4 linked regions of the Macaca fascicularis genome follow. The protein of the gene in region 2 purifies or fractionates together with the protein of the main gene of each other region. This does not show direct contact. Links are inferred from orthologs where the notes say so. Each region holds a gene or a part of one and is shown on either strand. Other genes may lie near its edges.

What was found.
Region 1: the proteins of SIN3B (region 2) and GATAD1 purify together in Homo sapiens (affinity purification with mass spectrometry; 5 studies listed by BioGRID and IntAct, with this or other methods). This does not show direct contact. The link is inferred for Macaca fascicularis from reciprocal best matches to the Homo sapiens genes SIN3B and GATAD1.
Region 3: the proteins of SIN3B (region 2) and SAP130 purify together in Homo sapiens (affinity purification with mass spectrometry; 3 studies listed by BioGRID and IntAct, with this or other methods). This does not show direct contact. The link is inferred for Macaca fascicularis from reciprocal best matches to the Homo sapiens genes SIN3B and SAP130.
Region 4: the proteins of SIN3B (region 2) and KDM5A purify together in Homo sapiens (affinity purification with mass spectrometry; 4 studies listed by BioGRID and IntAct, with this or other methods). This does not show direct contact. The link is inferred for Macaca fascicularis from reciprocal best matches to the Homo sapiens genes SIN3B and KDM5A.

The regions. Positions count from the first base shown.
Region 1 is NC_088377.1:128,909,927-128,914,125, forward strand, and holds the start of GATAD1 (GATA zinc finger domain-containing protein 1), read right to left. Parts: upstream 2,858-4,199; 5' UTR 2,581-2,857; coding exon 2,326-2,580; intron 1,561-2,325; coding exon 1,435-1,560; intron 1,214-1,434; exon of another isoform or gene 1-1,213. UniProt on the Homo sapiens protein: Component of some chromatin complex recruited to chromatin sites methylated 'Lys-4' of histone H3 (H3K4me), with a preference for trimethylated form (H3K4me3).
Region 2 is NC_088393.1:17,188,472-17,192,032, reverse strand, and holds part of SIN3B (paired amphipathic helix protein Sin3b), read right to left. Parts: intron 525-3,561; coding exon 317-524; intron 1-316.
Region 3 is NC_088386.1:3,499,642-3,503,657, reverse strand, and holds the start of SAP130 (histone deacetylase complex subunit SAP130), read right to left. Parts: upstream 2,862-4,016; 5' UTR 2,719-2,861; coding exon 2,647-2,718; intron 1,854-2,646; coding exon 1,736-1,853; intron 1-1,735. UniProt on the Homo sapiens protein: Acts as a transcriptional repressor. May function in the assembly and/or enzymatic activity of the mSin3A corepressor complex or in mediating interactions between the complex and other regulatory complexes.
Region 4 is NC_088385.1:1,144,362-1,148,678, forward strand, and holds the start of KDM5A (lysine-specific demethylase 5A), read right to left. Parts: upstream 2,853-4,317; 5' UTR 2,665-2,852; coding exon 2,500-2,664; intron 1-2,499. UniProt on the Homo sapiens protein: Histone demethylase that specifically demethylates 'Lys-4' of histone H3, thereby playing a central role in histone code. Does not demethylate histone H3 'Lys-9', H3 'Lys-27', H3 'Lys-36', H3 'Lys-79' or H4 'Lys-20'.

The sequences.
Region 1 (4,199 bases), on a different chromosome or scaffold from region 2:
CAACTCAACTATTTAGCCATAATACTCAACGTCGGTTTTCTAGCAAGCTGGAACTAAGGCTTTAGAAACTTTGACAGTTCTTAGTAATTTGCTACCATCCAACCATTTTTGAAATCCCTACTAAAGCTTCAATACATACTTTTATGCCACAACATAGAAAGTAGGCCTCCCCAGATGTGTCTTGCTTAGTAACATTGAAGAAAGGGTTGCAGACAAACGATAATGAATTAATTGCTGAGAACATGGTATACTATACTTAAAAGGAAAAAAAATGTGCATATGTGATACAAATACCAATAAGATATTTTGCATAATCAACAAATGCCTTGCTTAACTAAATTATAAAAATCTTAAATAAATTAGAAGCAACTACTCTGAAAAAGAAAATACTTTGGGGAAGGGAACATCACACACTGGGGCCCATCGGAGATGGGGGGCAAGGGGAGGGAGAGCATTAGGACAAATATCTAATGCACATGGGCCTTAAAACCTAGATGATGGGTTGACAGGTGCAGCAAATCACCATGGCACATGTATACCTATGTAACAAACCTGCACGTTCTGCACATGTATCCCAGAATTTAAAGTAAAATTTTAAAAAATTAATTAAATTAAATTACATTAAAAAAAAAAAAAGAAAATAGTCTGCCATCTGCATAAGTCTACTGCAGGGTCCCTTTGTGTTTTAGAAATAAATATGCCCGACTTCAAAAATGTCTTTACGGGTAAGTGAAACATTCCTGTTCTGAAAGAAAAGAATACCATACTGAGACTTAAAAAAATAGTCCATAATGCACTGTCCATTGTGTTTGAACATTATCCCTTGTTTATAAAAACTGATAATTTAATTGCAATAAAAATATGCTTTCAATTATTTCCAGCACAGGTCTTTCAACAATGTCTTTTCTTAGAGTAGAAGAGAGAAGGCTTAGCAGAATTTTTGACTCATATTCATCAAATACATCATCATCATAAGTCAATAAGATACATTTTCTGGGGCTTTAATAATAAATAAATATGCAAATGATGAGTTCTAGTGTTAATATTTACTTAATTTTTAAAGAATGAAAAAAAAGTTTTCTTAGTGTACCTGGCCATATCAAGAACCATAATCTCTCCTCTTCCTTTCCATAGAGAACCCCAAAAAATGGGCTCAAGGCTGATGTTTCTTTTAAACTCATATTTTATATTTTCCAGGGGAAAAAAATAAAAGCTAAAAAAAAAAAAAAAAAAAGGAAAGAGTATTATTACCTTTAAAAATAGTGAGCCTCCTGCAACAGAGCTCATTCCCTTTTGGGGAGTCTGGACCACTCCCCAGAATACTAAGGAAGGGCTACCAAGGGCAGAGTCCAAGTTCAATGGCGGGAAATGAAGGCAGTGGCAGGATACACACAACATCATTACAGTAAAAGGCACTGTCCACAAATATCTTACATTTTTCAATTTAAATATATGTCTTCTCCCTTTTCCTTTGGTGGAAACTTTCTTCTCAGCAGCCGGAGCAGATTTGTATTTAGTGTTTCTGAGCCGAGCAGACCTCCTGTGAATTTCCTGCTTACTCTGTTACACAAACAAATTAAAGAACAGAGAAAGAAGTAAAAAGTGTATACAGGTTGCAATACAATCATCTTACAAGGATCCCAGAGTATGTACTTTATAGGAGTATTTAACAATTAAGAGTGCGCCTTTGCTTTTCAACAGAGGTAATTTCAGCAACTGGGCTAAGTAAAACCGGAAGTTCAGCACCGGAATCTCGGAGCTCGCTGGATAGGCGTCTCCAGAGCCTCCAAAAGGTGTGAGCTGCTTGTAATAAGTCAGGAGGCGGAAGTAAGAGTCAGTCTGGGCCAAGACAAACACTATTCATTTGTTGTGTCTACAATAGAGAAAAACACTTAACAACTTTACTCCCTAAGGCCAGATAACGTATTAGGTTATGGCGCCTCCTACAACTGAATACTTAAGCTGCCATTTACAATAATGACATAATAATCTTACTTCATAACCTGATATGACAAAACCTTTAACAAGCAATGAGGTCCAGCACCTGCACTTGTGGCATGACCCTGTTTACGACTGTGTAGACGTGTGCATATTGAGATTTTCTTAAGGGCTTTACATTTTGGTTCTTATTGCTTTGAATTTCTTATAACAGGTGCTTTGGAATGGGTCAAACCAAAGATCTCAGTAGGAGGTGGGGAGGGGCGTTCCAGCCGGCAGGACCACGGCGAGCCGGGAAGCCCGGGCCCGCCCGCTCCCAACCCGCCCGGCCCCTGCCGCCTAGCGCCCGGTCGGCCTCCGCCGGCGGGAGGGGCCGGAGGAGCTCACCTGCTTGCCGCCCCCGCCCCCGTTGCTCTGCGGAGGAGTGGCGGAGGTGCTGGCGAAGGTCGCCGCGCCGAAGCCGCCGCCACCGCCGCTGCTGCCCCCAGTCCCTCCAGCCGCCCCCGAGCCTGCGCCCCCGCTGCCCGCGCCGCCCCGGCCAGTGCAATGATGGCAGAGGATCTCCCCCTGCGTGCCCTTCTTCCACATGGAGGACGACGTGGTCTTGCATACGCTGCAGGTGGGCTTCAGGCCCAGCGGCATGGTGGCCGGCTCGGGCGGCCCCCGCGGGCGCAGAGACACGGGAATGGCGGACGCTAGCCCGGCCGCCCCCTGGTCGGCCCACCACTCCCGGCGATAGGAAGAGCAGTGAGGGCGACAGCACCGAGCTGCCCGTGAAGGGACTAGGCCGCTAGCGCTGCCGCGTGGAGGCGGGAAGCGGGTTCCGCCGGTTCCGCCGGCTCGGCGCCCAGCACCAGCCCCGGGAGGCCCGAGGCACTGGGAAGCAGGACCGGGAACGGGATATGGCCGGCGGGGACGCGGAGGCTTCCGGCGGTGAGCTGGCCCCAGGGCCGCGCAGCCCGACCGCCTGACCGGAAGTGCAGCACCCGGAATTACTGGGAGCTTGCGGTAGTTCCGCTTGCTGTCGCCTAGGGGCGCGGTTCTCAAACTTTTTGGTGTCAGGCCTAGAATTTGCGGGGTAAAATGCAGGACCAATGAAATGTGACTTTCAGGTAAACGACGAACAATTGTTTTTAGCGTGAGTGAATTTCATGCAATAATGGTTTATCTGAGAGGAGTTTAACTGGGAGTCCTGTATTTTTATGTGCTAAATCTGGCAATCCAGGTCTGGCGTGGTGGCTCACGCTTGCAATCCCAGCACTTTGGGAGACCAAGGCTGGCGGATTACTTGAGCTCAGGAGTTCGAAATCAGCCTGGCCAACATGGTGAAACCCCTTCTCTACTAAAAATACAAAAGTTAGCCAGGCTCAGTAGTGGCGGGCTCCGGGGTAATCCCAGCTACTCTGGAGGCTGCGGCAGAAGAATCTCTTGAGTGCGGGAGGTAGAGCCTGCAGTGAGCCAAGATCATGCCATTGCACTTCAGCCTGGGGGATAGAGTGAGACTCTGACTCAAGAAAAAAAAAAAAATCTGGCAATCTTTCTCAGGACCCCTTTACACTCTTAAAAATTATAATTTGGACATGCCCCTACATCTCCCCCCAACCCATACTTTTGTTTAGTTGAATTCAGAGCATGCCATTTACGGACATCGACAAGGGATTCAGAAAATGCCATCCACTGACATTTATGTTTTAGAAATTGAAATTGAGACATTTTACAGCCTAAGATGTCAAGCGCACATTCTTCAGCCATTGGGTAATATCGTTGCAAGTCCCTTGGACTCTGAAGAGTATACCGATTAGAGAATGTGGAGAAAATTGAATAACTGGCTGTTATTCAATTCAAAACTGTTGGAAAACAGTTTTGGCTCTGAGGACCCAGCAGTTGACAAACAGCGGGCCTGGGACAAGCGCAGTATGAGAAGTCAGATCGCCTCTTCTAATGTCACTAGTCAGTACAGGCCTCGCCAGACAAGTCTCTCCTCAGCCTCATTTGGAAGAGCATGTCCTCTCTTCATGATCCTGGGTTTCCTAGACTTAGTATCCTTGGAAAAGTCTTGATGAATATATTGTGGTGGGAAGCAATGGGGAGAAACAAATGCCTATTATGTCACAAAACCACATTTAGTGCTTATGACAACCTTGGAATGAGATATTATCAGATTTTACTGTTAATTGGTGATCAACAGAGGCACTTCTGTGTGAACTGGCTGTCATTATAGCTGCTGCCGTTGGCACCAATTTCGAGGAGGACTTTGGAGC
Region 2 (3,561 bases):
GAAACACACTGAGGTCAGTGAGCCCGGGACGGAGCAGAATCATGGCAGCAATAAACCTAACTCAAATAACAGATGAATAAGTGAACTCCACATTATCCCTGACACTCTGTGTTTTGCCAAAACTACCAGCAGGGTACAACACTGTTGTCTCTGCTCAGGTGGTTTTGCTGGGCCACATCCCAGCACCACCCATAACCCAACATTCAGGAGGGCTGAGCACACAGCATTTCATTCAAAACGGGGGTATTGGGTGTTTGCTGGGGAGGGGGGGGGGATGCACCATGTCAGCGAACATGTAAGCCCCAGGGAGCGCTACCTCCTTGCAGATGGCCGTCCTCCCGCTGCACTTGGGCTGCTGGTAGGTTTTGGGGAGTGCCCGGTAGCTGGATCCTATGCGCTTACAAGATGCATAGTCGATTTCCCGGCTTATCCCGTCCCCGGATCTGTCGCTCATGGGTGGCGCGAAGGACAGCTCTTTTACCCCTAGGAAGGACTTGAACTGTGCAAACAGCTCTGGAAATTTCCTTCAAAGATAAAGAAAAATGGTAACTGGTCATCCCTTGGGCCTTCTGAGAGGGATCTGGAGATTTTAGAATGGCTTCATGTGGACATTACAGCTTAAACAGAGTCAGAATTCAACATCATGGACGCAAATGAGAGGCGGAAGAATCCAATACACAGGAAGTCACTGCAAGTCCTGAGGTGTGTGAATGAATGGGCCTCCCACCCCTCTGTCACACACCAGGTCCCTTCCTGTGCCTATTGACCCCATACTCACAGGGAGGCTTTGAAATACACCAGAAAAGATGACTTGAACTGGCAGAAGCTGGAGCCCATGACGTTCCCTGACTGGAAGAGGCCAGGGAGCGGCAAGCCACAGCCAGTCTGCCCACTGCCTGTGTTTTGTTTTGTTTGGTTTTTTTTTTTTTTTTTTTAGAGACAGTGTCTCACTCTGTTGCCCAGGCTCAAGGGCAGTGGCATGATCTCAGCTCACTGCAACCTCAAACTCCTGGGCTCAAGAGATCCTCCCACCTCAGCCTCCTCAATAGCTGGGACCACAGGCATGTGCCACTACGCCCAGCTAATTTCTTTTGTTTTTTTTTTGAGACAGAGTTTCACTCGTCGCCCAGGCAGGGGTGCAATGGCACAATCTCGGCTCACTGAAACCTCCACCTCCTGGGTTCAAGCTATTCTCCTGTCAGCCTTCCGAGTATCTGGGATTACAGGCACGCACCACCTGTAAATTTTGTATTTTTAGTAGAGATGGGGTTTCACCATGTTGGTCAGGCTGGTCTCAAACTCCTGACCTCCAGAGATTCGCCCGCCTTGGCCTCCCAAAGTGCTAGGATTATAGGTGTGAGCCACCATGCCCGGCCAATTTTAAAAATTTTTGTAGAGATGGGGTCTTGCTATGTTGTCCAAGCTGGTCTTGAACTCCTGGCCTCAAGCGATCCCTTTCACCTCAACCTCCCAAAGTGCTGGGGTGACAGGAGTGAGCCACCATGCCCAGCCATCCCATCGTAAATAAAGTTTCACTGGCCCACAGTCACGTCCACTTGTGTACGCACTGCCTGTGGCCTGCACAAGAGAGGTATGAATCATCTCCACATAGCCCGTCTGGCCCCTCAGAGATCAAGTTTGCCTATCTCTGACCTACAGTCTTCCCCTCTCATGAGGGAGACTCCTCTCTGTGAACCCCTCTCTGGACACATGCTTGAAAGTCATCAGGTCATGGCTGTGGTTGACGATAGGAAGGCTTTAATGCAAACGACTCTACAATGCCAACTGGATTTCTGTTTAAAATCAGATCTGGTGGTGTGTGCCCGGAATCCCAGCTACTCAGGAGGCCAAGATGGGAAGATCGCTTCAGCTCAAGAGTTTGAGACCAGCCTGGGCAACACAGCGGGATCCCGTCTCTAAGCAGTAACATCAGATCCTACAAAAAAAAAAAGGTGCAGTTACTTTGCTGGTGCCACAATCCTGCAGTCACCCAGCCACCCAGCCCACCCTCCCATAATGATGTCCCCCTCATTGATGTGGCCTCCGTCGTGCCACGTATTTAAGAACCCTATGCCAACTGCGCTCACAAGGAAAACCCACAAGCCAATGGAAACGTAGGGAGGAAAGATACCGACGAAAATGCTGCAGAGATGCCTGAGGCTACTGCTGGGATAAACACAAATCAGGATCGCTAGAAGGGAATGCTGAACCCAGTTCGCCCGGCTGCCATGTGGCTGCCAGCTGCGAGGGGCAGTTCCCTGGGCCGTGTTCAGCCGCCCAGCCCAGCTGAGCACCTGACTGCAGGTTGAACACGCAGAGGAAAGCCACGTGGTGGTGAATGTTCCTAACCCAACCAAGCATTGTGTCAAGAACACGCAGAGGTCCGCTTTCATCCCAGACCTTGCTCCATACAGACCCTTCCCCTAACGCCCGTCCCTGTGTGAGTCTCTGCTGCCGAAACATGGAAACAAGAACAGCTGACTGTCCCGGCACTGACCATCTGCTCAGCATCTTGCCTTTCAGACTCTCGCCTTTCATATTCCTTTTGTCTTCCCCTCTAACCTCCTGACAAACCCAGGAGGGAGGTATGGCCATTTTACAAAGACACTGAGGCTCGCTTGGCTAGTAGGAAGCTGAGTCCCAATTCCAACCCAGGGTGGTCATGGGCCCGCTGGGCGCAGGTGCCAACACCAGCTCCACACACAGCCCCTGGGGGCCCCCTGTCCCAGGTGGGACCCAGGCTCAGAGAGTGCTGGATTCTGAGCCCAGTGGAGGCGACTCAAGGTGAATGTGCATTCCACGTCCATAGAAAAGGCCCACCCGTGTGCCCACCACCCACGTCACAAACAGACCCCAGGAGCCCCCGTTTTGCCTGAGACTAGAGTAGCACCATCCTGCTCCGGGCTGTTCTTCAGGGCGATTACAGACCTTCAGCGGCCCAAGAAAGAAAACCCACTGAAAAGATCACCCCAACACGTGCATGCCCGGGACCACCAGGGAAAGGCCTTCTGATGAGCTCAGCTTGACCCGCGAGGGTCGTAACCTCAGGAGCATTTGATGTCAACACCACTGACAGGGAGGACTAGAGACAAACGCCCATCGTTTGAGACCCTGGTAAGGGACAGTTGCTTAAAAATGAGGACATGGGTTCACATCTGATGCTGAAACACTTCCAAGAAATGCTGAGTTAAAAAAAAAAACAAAAGACATCGAAGCCCAGCCTGACAGCACGCGCCTGCTTACGCTACGCCCAGCAGCCACTGTGCCCAGAAGGCAGAGAACATGCAAAGGGCTGGCTTTGGGGCTGGAGCACCCCGGCTGCTACCTAACAGCACGCTCAGCTCACCTATGAGTGCTTGTCCTAGGGTAAGTCAGAGGCATTTGATCTGAGTCTCAGTTTCCTTATTTATTTATTTTTTTGAGACAGGGTCTCACACTGTCACCCAGGCTGAGTGCAGTGGTGAGATGAGGGCTCTGCCGAAACTCGAGTGATCCAGCCACCTCAGCCTCCCAAGAGGCTACAGGTACACGCCACCACTTCTGGCTAGTTTCTGACGAGGT
Region 3 (4,016 bases), on a different chromosome or scaffold from region 2:
AGCTACTCAGAGGCTGAGGCACAAGAATCGCTAAAACCCAGGAGGCAGAGACCGAAGGGACCTGAGATAGAGCCAGTGCACTCTAACCTGGGCCAAAGAGTGACACTCTGTCTCAAAAAAATAAAATAAAACAAAATAAAGTAAAATAAAATAAAATAAGCTGGGGAGCTCAAAAGATCGAGGCTGCAGTGGGCTGTGATTAGGCCACTGTACTCCCGCTTGAATGACAGCATGAGATGCTGTTGCAAAAAAATAAGCCTCAGCTACTGGTTTAAGCAATGAGTAGACAGTGGTATCATTTACCATAAGGAACACCAGAATCGAGTGGTGAAGAAAAAGGAATAGAAAATAGTTTATTCATGGCCGGGCGCGGTGGCTCAAGCCTGTAATCCCAGCACTTTGGGAGGCCGAGGCGGGTGGATCACGAGGTCAGGAGATCGAGACTATCCTGGCTAACATGGTGAAACCCCGTCTCTACTAAAAATACAAAAAACTAGCCGGGCGTGGTGGCGGGCGCCTGTAGGCTCAGCTATTTGGGAGGCTGAGGCGGGAGAATGGCGTGAACCCGGGAGGCGGAGCTTGCAGTGAGCCGAGATCACGCCACTGCACTCCAGCCTGGGAGACACAGCGAGACTCCGTCTCAAAAAAAAAAAAAAAAAAAAAAAGAAAATAGTTTATTCCACTTTGCAATGTCACATATTTACTTAATACGTAGCGAAAAAGAGTATTTGAAGGAATTCCTCAACTTCAGCGCTGCTGACTAGACTGGATACTTCTCTGTTGTGGGGGCTTCCCGTTATCTTGTAGGATGTGAAGCAGTATCCCTGGCCTCTACCTACCAGATGCCAATAGCACTGTTGAGTTGTGACAACCAAACTGTCTTTAGATATTGCCAAGTATTCCCCTGCAGGAAAAACCACCTCCCCAAACACCTGTCACTGAGAACCACTGATTTCTAGCACTCAAAGGGCATGAGACGAAAAACCAAGTCTTATCTGTGTGTATGCAATCAGCCCTCTGTATCCATGGGTTCCCTGATGTGAATTCAAACAACTTTGGATGTTAAATATTCAGGGGGAAAAATAAAATATGGTTGCATCTGTACTAAGCACATACAGACTTTTTTGTCTTCTCACTGTTCTCTTAGCAATACGGAATAACAACTATTTACATACTATTTACTTTGTAGTAGGCATTACAAGTAATCTACAGCTGATTTAAAGTATACTGGAGGATAGATACAGGTAATATGTAAACACTATACCATTTTACATCACAAAGTGGAGCAACATGGATTTTGGTATCTGAGGTGGGTCCTGGAACCAATCCCCCACAGACACCATAGGGAAACTGCATATCCTTTGTTTTCCACTTATTTTCCTTGATAATAAACTCCTAAAAGGCAAGATCTGTTCCTTAAACAACTCTGGGCTCCCTCACAGCACTAATGCTATACTCATGGACATTAATTAAACATGAATATATTAATGCATTTCAAAAATAGTTCTTACAGGCATGCTTCGCTGTAAGTTGCATGTGTACTCTATGTGAACGACGTGGTTAAAACAGGAAGAAAAAAAGCCTTGTTTAAATTAGAATAGTAATATACCCTTTCTTCAAATTCAAGAAATAAGAATTTACTAAAATCCTAGAAGGAATCTGCTAATTTTTAAGTTAGAAAACTGGCAATATTCGTAAAGTTGGAAGAAATATATTAGAATATTACATATCTCACCTGTAGCAGCTGGGTTTATCAATCCAGCAGTACCACTGTTTGCAATCTGAGAAGGGGCCTGGCTCAGCCCAGTAGAAGGGGCTCCTAATCGAGGAAACTGTTGAGAACTCATTTCCACCTGCAGTACATACAGTTATATGGTTATTACTAGATTCTGAGATCTGAATCAATATTGAGAAATTAAAGCATCTTTAGTACCTATGAGATAGTCCCTCGGAAAAGCAAATGTTGCATCATCTATTTAAAAACAATAACGTAGGATCAATATAAATGCAGACATTATCTAAACTACCTAAGTTTTCTACCAATATCGTTTATACGGAGCTGGCGTGTACTATAACCCTCCATAAATACTTGTGGATTGCCATGCTAAAAAAATCACCATTGAATCCTGTACAAGAGTCACATGACAGGTATTACCACAATGCATGTGTATTTCTCTGTGTAAAGTTTTATGGAAAATGGCATGTCTCTTCGAAACACTCAAACCTCACACCAAGGTGAACAGAACTGTGATTAGCATGTCATAGGAACATTCGGAGGAAGATACCCAGCCCTAAGAAAGGATCGGATGTTTTACATTCAGACCTGATGCAAAAGGAATTCTCCAACGCTTTTCTGCAAAGGCTTCCATTTACGGATTTCCTTTTCTTTCCCTTTCATAGACCCCCACAGAGCAAGAGGACCCTACACCTTCTCCATCTTCCCTAAAATCGTCCCCCACTTTTCCCCCAGGAGCCAAGCGATCTCCCCTGATTCGCCCGCAACCCCACCCCACCGCGAAGCCCCCGCTGAGATGGGAGGACGCCGATTTCCAGACACCTCGGAGTGCGAGATCCCCGTCTCCGGGGTAGGGGTGCGGACGGGCGTTCTGGGGACCCGACCACAAGGCGAGCACTGTGCCTCTTTACCTGTAGCCGCCGCCCGCCGCCCGCACCGCCCGCTTCTAGCTCGCCGGCCTGGGGGTGCCGCGGAGGGCCCATCTCGGCGGCGGCGATGCGCTCGGGGGGCGCGGGGAGGGATCGCGGCGGCGGCGCCCGGGGCCCGCCGCTGTCCAGCCCCGCTGGCCCCACTCACCCCCAACACCCGGCCGCCGCTGTGCTCGCAGTCCTCTTCCCCCGAACCTGCCCCTGCCTCCCCCGCCCGCCCATTGGCCCCACGCCCGGCGCGTCAGTGGAGGCCCAGGACCAATCCACAGCGACCTACACGGTCAGGACCCGCCCCACCCTCCCGCCGACCGCCAGCCAATCAGGCGCGAGCCTGGCCGGGGCAGCCCAAACCCCTCGAGGCTGAACCAATGGCAGAGGAAGACAGGCGCCCCCGGCGAGGGGGGCGGGGAGCGGGGAGGCCCCGCCTTGGCCAGGGTCTGAAAGCGGCGGGCGCAGGGCCCGGATGTGGAGAGTCACTTTAAACTGCTCCAGGAGCCAAACTCCCTGGGCCGCCCGCCCGCCCGCGCTCCCCCGACCGCTCTGCTTCCCCGCCAAGGCCCACGTCCGCCACGCCCCCACGCCCGGGTCAGCCCACCCCTCCCGGTGCCTCTCCCTTCCTCGCCACAGGACACCCAGCCCCTGTCGCCGGCCCAACTGCCGTGCCCAGCTCGCCAAAGAGCCGCGGTCCGAGCTGCAGGAGACGAGGATCCTCTGCCCTTCCCCGGGGACGCGCAACGGGACGGACGCTGCAGCCCGGCTCGGCCGCCCCGCCCCCTCGTCTCCTCCCCTTCCCTCCCGGGCTCCCGTCCCGCCATTACCTGGGTGCTGCGCCGAGTGGCCGCCGCGCCGCCTTGAGCTCGCTCCCGCGCGCTCTCTGTCTGCGGGGCCGACGTCCCCAGGTTCCCGACCCGCAGCCACCGCCGGGGAGCTAGCACTCTGCCCCCCACCCCTCACTCCAGCGCCGCTGCTTCCGCCGCCGTAACGAGCCTCCCGTCTATTGGCTGGCGCAGGCCCCGCCCCCTGCCGAGTCAGCCAGTCGCCGGTGGTCGTGAGCGGGAGAGCGGACGGGCCCGCCCCTCGGAGCCGCGGCGTCCTCTGGGAAATGTAGTCGCGGGCGCCAAGAGGGCGGGCCGCGAAGGAGGTGGAGAGCGCCGGGGCGGGGCCGCAGGCGACCCGGCCAGGGCAACACACCCCTTTGCTGTCTGAAGTCGGTTCTGTCTTTTCTCTTGGCTAAGTGAGAAGACAGTGGATCCCACCCTGTGTCTCAACCTGAGGGCACTAGGTTTCATTTTCCCCGCGGGGAGGCGCGGCGCGGGAAAGGGTAATGGAGGCCAACTGCGGCGGCCAAGGGA
Region 4 (4,317 bases), on a different chromosome or scaffold from region 2:
TATTACCCAGAGAAGCAATCCTCTTCAAACCAGTCCCACTGTTTATCTCCCACAATTATGCTTTCCCAAGTTACTCAAGTGGAATTCAATGAGGTCATGTACCACAAAACGGTGTCTAGTAAACATTCAGGTTTACCAAGATCAAAAAAAACACCAAAAAATTTAAAAAACCAAAAAGGGTAAAATTAAAGATTAAAAATAAACTTTTTAAACTTTTTCTTTTGTACTGTATGTGTAACGCGACAGAGCACTTTATGTTACACAAAAGTTTTGTTCAAAGCCCAGCTTCTGGGAACCCAAATATTCAACAACAAAAAAAGTAAGCACACACACAGAACAAGGACAGTTTCCAGACTGTGATATAACTAAAATCAGATAGCATATTTCAAGTGGGGTCTAAATAACACAGTTTGATTTGGCCTAAATAACAGAATAACAGTAAACCTATTTTAAAACGTGAGTAGTCAAAAAAAAAAAAAAAACCCAGGAGGTGGAGGCAGAAGTGAGCCAAGATCGTGCCACTGCACTCCAGCCTGGAAACTAAAGAAATTTGCCAATACTAAAATTAAATTCTGATTGTAAACAAGATTTATTTTCAATAATGTGACATAAAAAGAGAAAGCATTGGCCGGGCGCGGTGGCTCACGCCTGTAATCCCAGCACTTTGGGAGGCCGAGGCGGGCGGATCACAAGGTCAGGAGATCGAGACCACGGTGAAACCCCGTCTCTACTAAAAATACAAAAAATTAGCCGGGCGCGGTTGTGGGCGCCTGTAGTCCCAGCTACTCGGGAGGCTGAGGCAGGAGAATGGCGTGAACCCGGGAGGCGGAGCTTGCAGTGAGCCGAGATCGCGCCACTGCACTCCAGCCTGGGCGACAGAGCGAGACTCCGTCTCAAAAAAAAAAAAAAAAAAAAAAAGAGAAAGCATTATTTCAACATTTTTTAAGTTAAAAAAAACTTTTTTTTTAATCGAAGTAACCGTGAATAGAATTTCTAATTAATAAATTCAAGAGTAGATGAAAATACGACTTAGGAAAACCTTCAATGCTTAAGATTTGTTAATATTAGGTAATTATGATAGAAAAAAAGGGTTAAATGGAAGTTTTTGGAGGATGGCAATGCATATCATCACAGCAATTATTTGTTAATCCTCTGCTTGCAACGAATAGTCTATAACCTTAAACTCATTCTACATGGAGCATTATGTCTGTTTCAGAATCAGAAAAACCGATCTAGGTTCAAAATATACTTTGCCACTTGCCCAAGATAACCCATCTGGTGTTTTAACTTATCCAGATTAATCTTATCTGTAAAAGGTGGACTTCATTTACCTATCAGGGCTTCAAAGATTAAAGCAAACAATCTATAGGTGTTAAATTAGCTCCTCCTCGCTGTCATTTAAGTTTTTAATTCGCTGCGGTGCCTATCACTGTGGTAGTCAGTGGTGACGGCAGATGCTTTTTAAAATGCAACACTGGTTAACAGTGCTTAATATTTTATCATTACCAATACTAGACAAAACATAAAGCAAAATGCCTTTAAGAAGCAATGACTAAAGCAATGGTTCGAAAACCTCAACTTACATGAAGAATCATCTGAGACTAGTTGCTAGAAAAGCAGATTCCAGAACTTCCACAAGAAGCCTAGAGATCTGCATTTAAATAAGCATCCAGTTGACCCAGGTGCAAGTGGTCCCGCAACAGCATTTAAAAAGCACTGATCTAATGAGTAAAGAAAAACACCTTTTGACCTTGAGCATCTCACTCAATCTCTTGGGGCATTAATCCCCTCCACACAAGGGATAGTACCTACTTTCCTTACCTCAATGTTGAGATTATAATTAACCTTATAGGCAAACCTAGTTATCTGCAATAACTGTGATTCTAAAATCGTTGATCTTGAGTTCCCTATGTCAAGAGATTTCAACATTTCCTCCCGCCTCCATTATAGATGAATTCTTCCTAAACCTCTCAATTTTAGAATTATTGCTGCTCCTCTTTCCCCGGTAAGACTTTCTCACTGCAGCAATGATTAGTCTGGAGTTCTATGTCTATAATACCATCTGGTGGAACTAGAGCTCAGATTACCTTTTCAGAAACCCTAGCCCTGAGAGGAGGCCTGCAAATATTTGATCCAATCAGGTCTTGAATAGAGATAGCCGACTATCAAACCATAATGAGGATACGTGAGGGAAGAATGTACTTTAATTAAACCTCATATTGGCTAACGAAGGGCTTTAGGCCCACAGCGGAGAGAAAAGTATCAGTTCCCAAGTTCTAGGCGGAAGACCCCAGAGACACCACTTTCTCGCATTCAGACGTGTCTACATAAGACCACAAAAGAAACCGAAGCAGAAACATCCAGAAACAGGCTCCGGTTGTCTCAACATAAAGGAGAGTACATACGAAAGGAGAGAAGGATCGGAAAAGTAAGGCTAAACCCAGTGCACGGACTCCCCCCTTCTTCCTTCTCCCCCTCTCTCTCCACAGACTGAGGTACCTTGGGCGGCCGAATTTTGCAGATGCCGGTTTTCTCCGCCAAAGGCCGGATGCGGCCGATAAAGCTGAGCGGATCTGTGAACTCCTCCCAGCTCGGCTCAAAGACGGGGCACTCCGGGGGCGGCACGAACTCGGCCGCGTAGCCCCCCGGCCCCACGCCCGCCATTGCAGCGGCCGGGGGGGGGGTCCCCGTGGGGAACCGGTGGAGAAAAGCTGGCTGAAGCCCACTGAGCCCGTTCACGTCCCCTGACTGGGGCCGAAGCGCATCTTCGCGGAAAAGAACCGCTCAACACAGACACCCCAGAACCGCTTCCTCCTCCCGTTTGTTATTGTTTCTTGCAAGGCTTTTCCTCTGAGGGTCAGGACTTCTCCGGAAGTTACTGTGCTGTCAAATCCCTCCGCCCCCGCAGGAAACGGAATCCTTCCGCAGCGGCGCGACGCCCGGGTATCTGGCCCTTCCTCCTTCTTCTCTTGCCCGGCAGCCCGGTGTGGCTGTTTCTCTCCTTGCCTGCCAAAGTTCTGCCCAGTCCAACGACTCCACGCGGCTCGCCCTGGGTAGGGGGTCGGGGAGAGGCGCAATCTCTCCTTCACTAGAGGTGGGGACAGAGCCAGGCCGACGGGGCGAGGCGAGGCGCGACGTGTTCTTCCGGCGCGGAGGAATGTGTAATGCCCCAGAGGGCAGAGGTTGTGCTTCCGGTGAGGAGGGTCCCTTTCCCTTTTGTGTGTCGGTGTAGTCGAAATCACGCAGGGCTTAGCGTTAGCCCCCCAGCCTCGCCGCCCGTGCTTCGTGATTTGTTTTAACCTACCCTGCTGCGTTTCTAGCAAGTAGCCGTTCCAGCATTTCTCTTTTTTTTAGCCCTTTGAATGCAGGTATTTTACAGTAATCTCACTCTGCCACTTTATAGCCGCCTCTTCTCCAGGAAAACAAGTGCAGGTCTAACCCATCCCCTAAATCCTGCCAGCTGGCTTTAGCCACCATCCAGGAATTGCTTTTCCTTTTACACAGAACACAGCAGCTCTTCTGAATTACCAGCCAGTACTGTCTAGCTACCTACAGGACATCTCACTCTGATAACTCAAAGTACTTTAATTGGTCACTATTTCTTCAGTGTTCCTGGTTTCATTAATACCTTCATCTATTCAGTTGCCTGAGGCAAAAAAAAAAACAATCAAGAAATAGTCCTCATGCTTTCTGCTCTCACTTCCCATGTATAATCGTGTGTCTCTCCATCCTTGTTACCAGTATCCTAATTTAAATACTCTTACTGACAACAGCTCATTTCTTTTCTCCTCTGAAATTCCTCTCCATTCTCAAGTTGGATTGCTTTGTCTAAAATCCAGAATTCATCTTGTCACTTTTCATCTCCAAACTCAACAACTCCAAACATCTTTTTTAATTGCTGATTTGCTGCTTTACTCTCCAGCTTCATCTCTACTGCTTCTCCATATGATCTACAGAAGTCTTTGTTGTGACTTTAGTACACCATGATTTTTCTCACCTCTGAGCCATCACACATATTTCCTCTGTCCAGAACATTTTTGTACTCTGCTGACCCAAAATCATTTGTATCATTATATCCCCTTCCTAAATTTCTACTCATCCTTCATTTAAATAAATATGAAGGATTAGGCTGAGCAAATCTGTGAACTGTGAACTCCTCCTTCATATTTATTTAAATAATATTTATTTAAATAATAATAAATAATATTTATTTAAATAAATATGAAGGATTAAATATCACTTCTAGATAGCCTTTCCTAATCCCAAAAATTGGTGTGGTCAGCAGCAACTTGTACTTCCTTGTCAAACTTTTTGAAA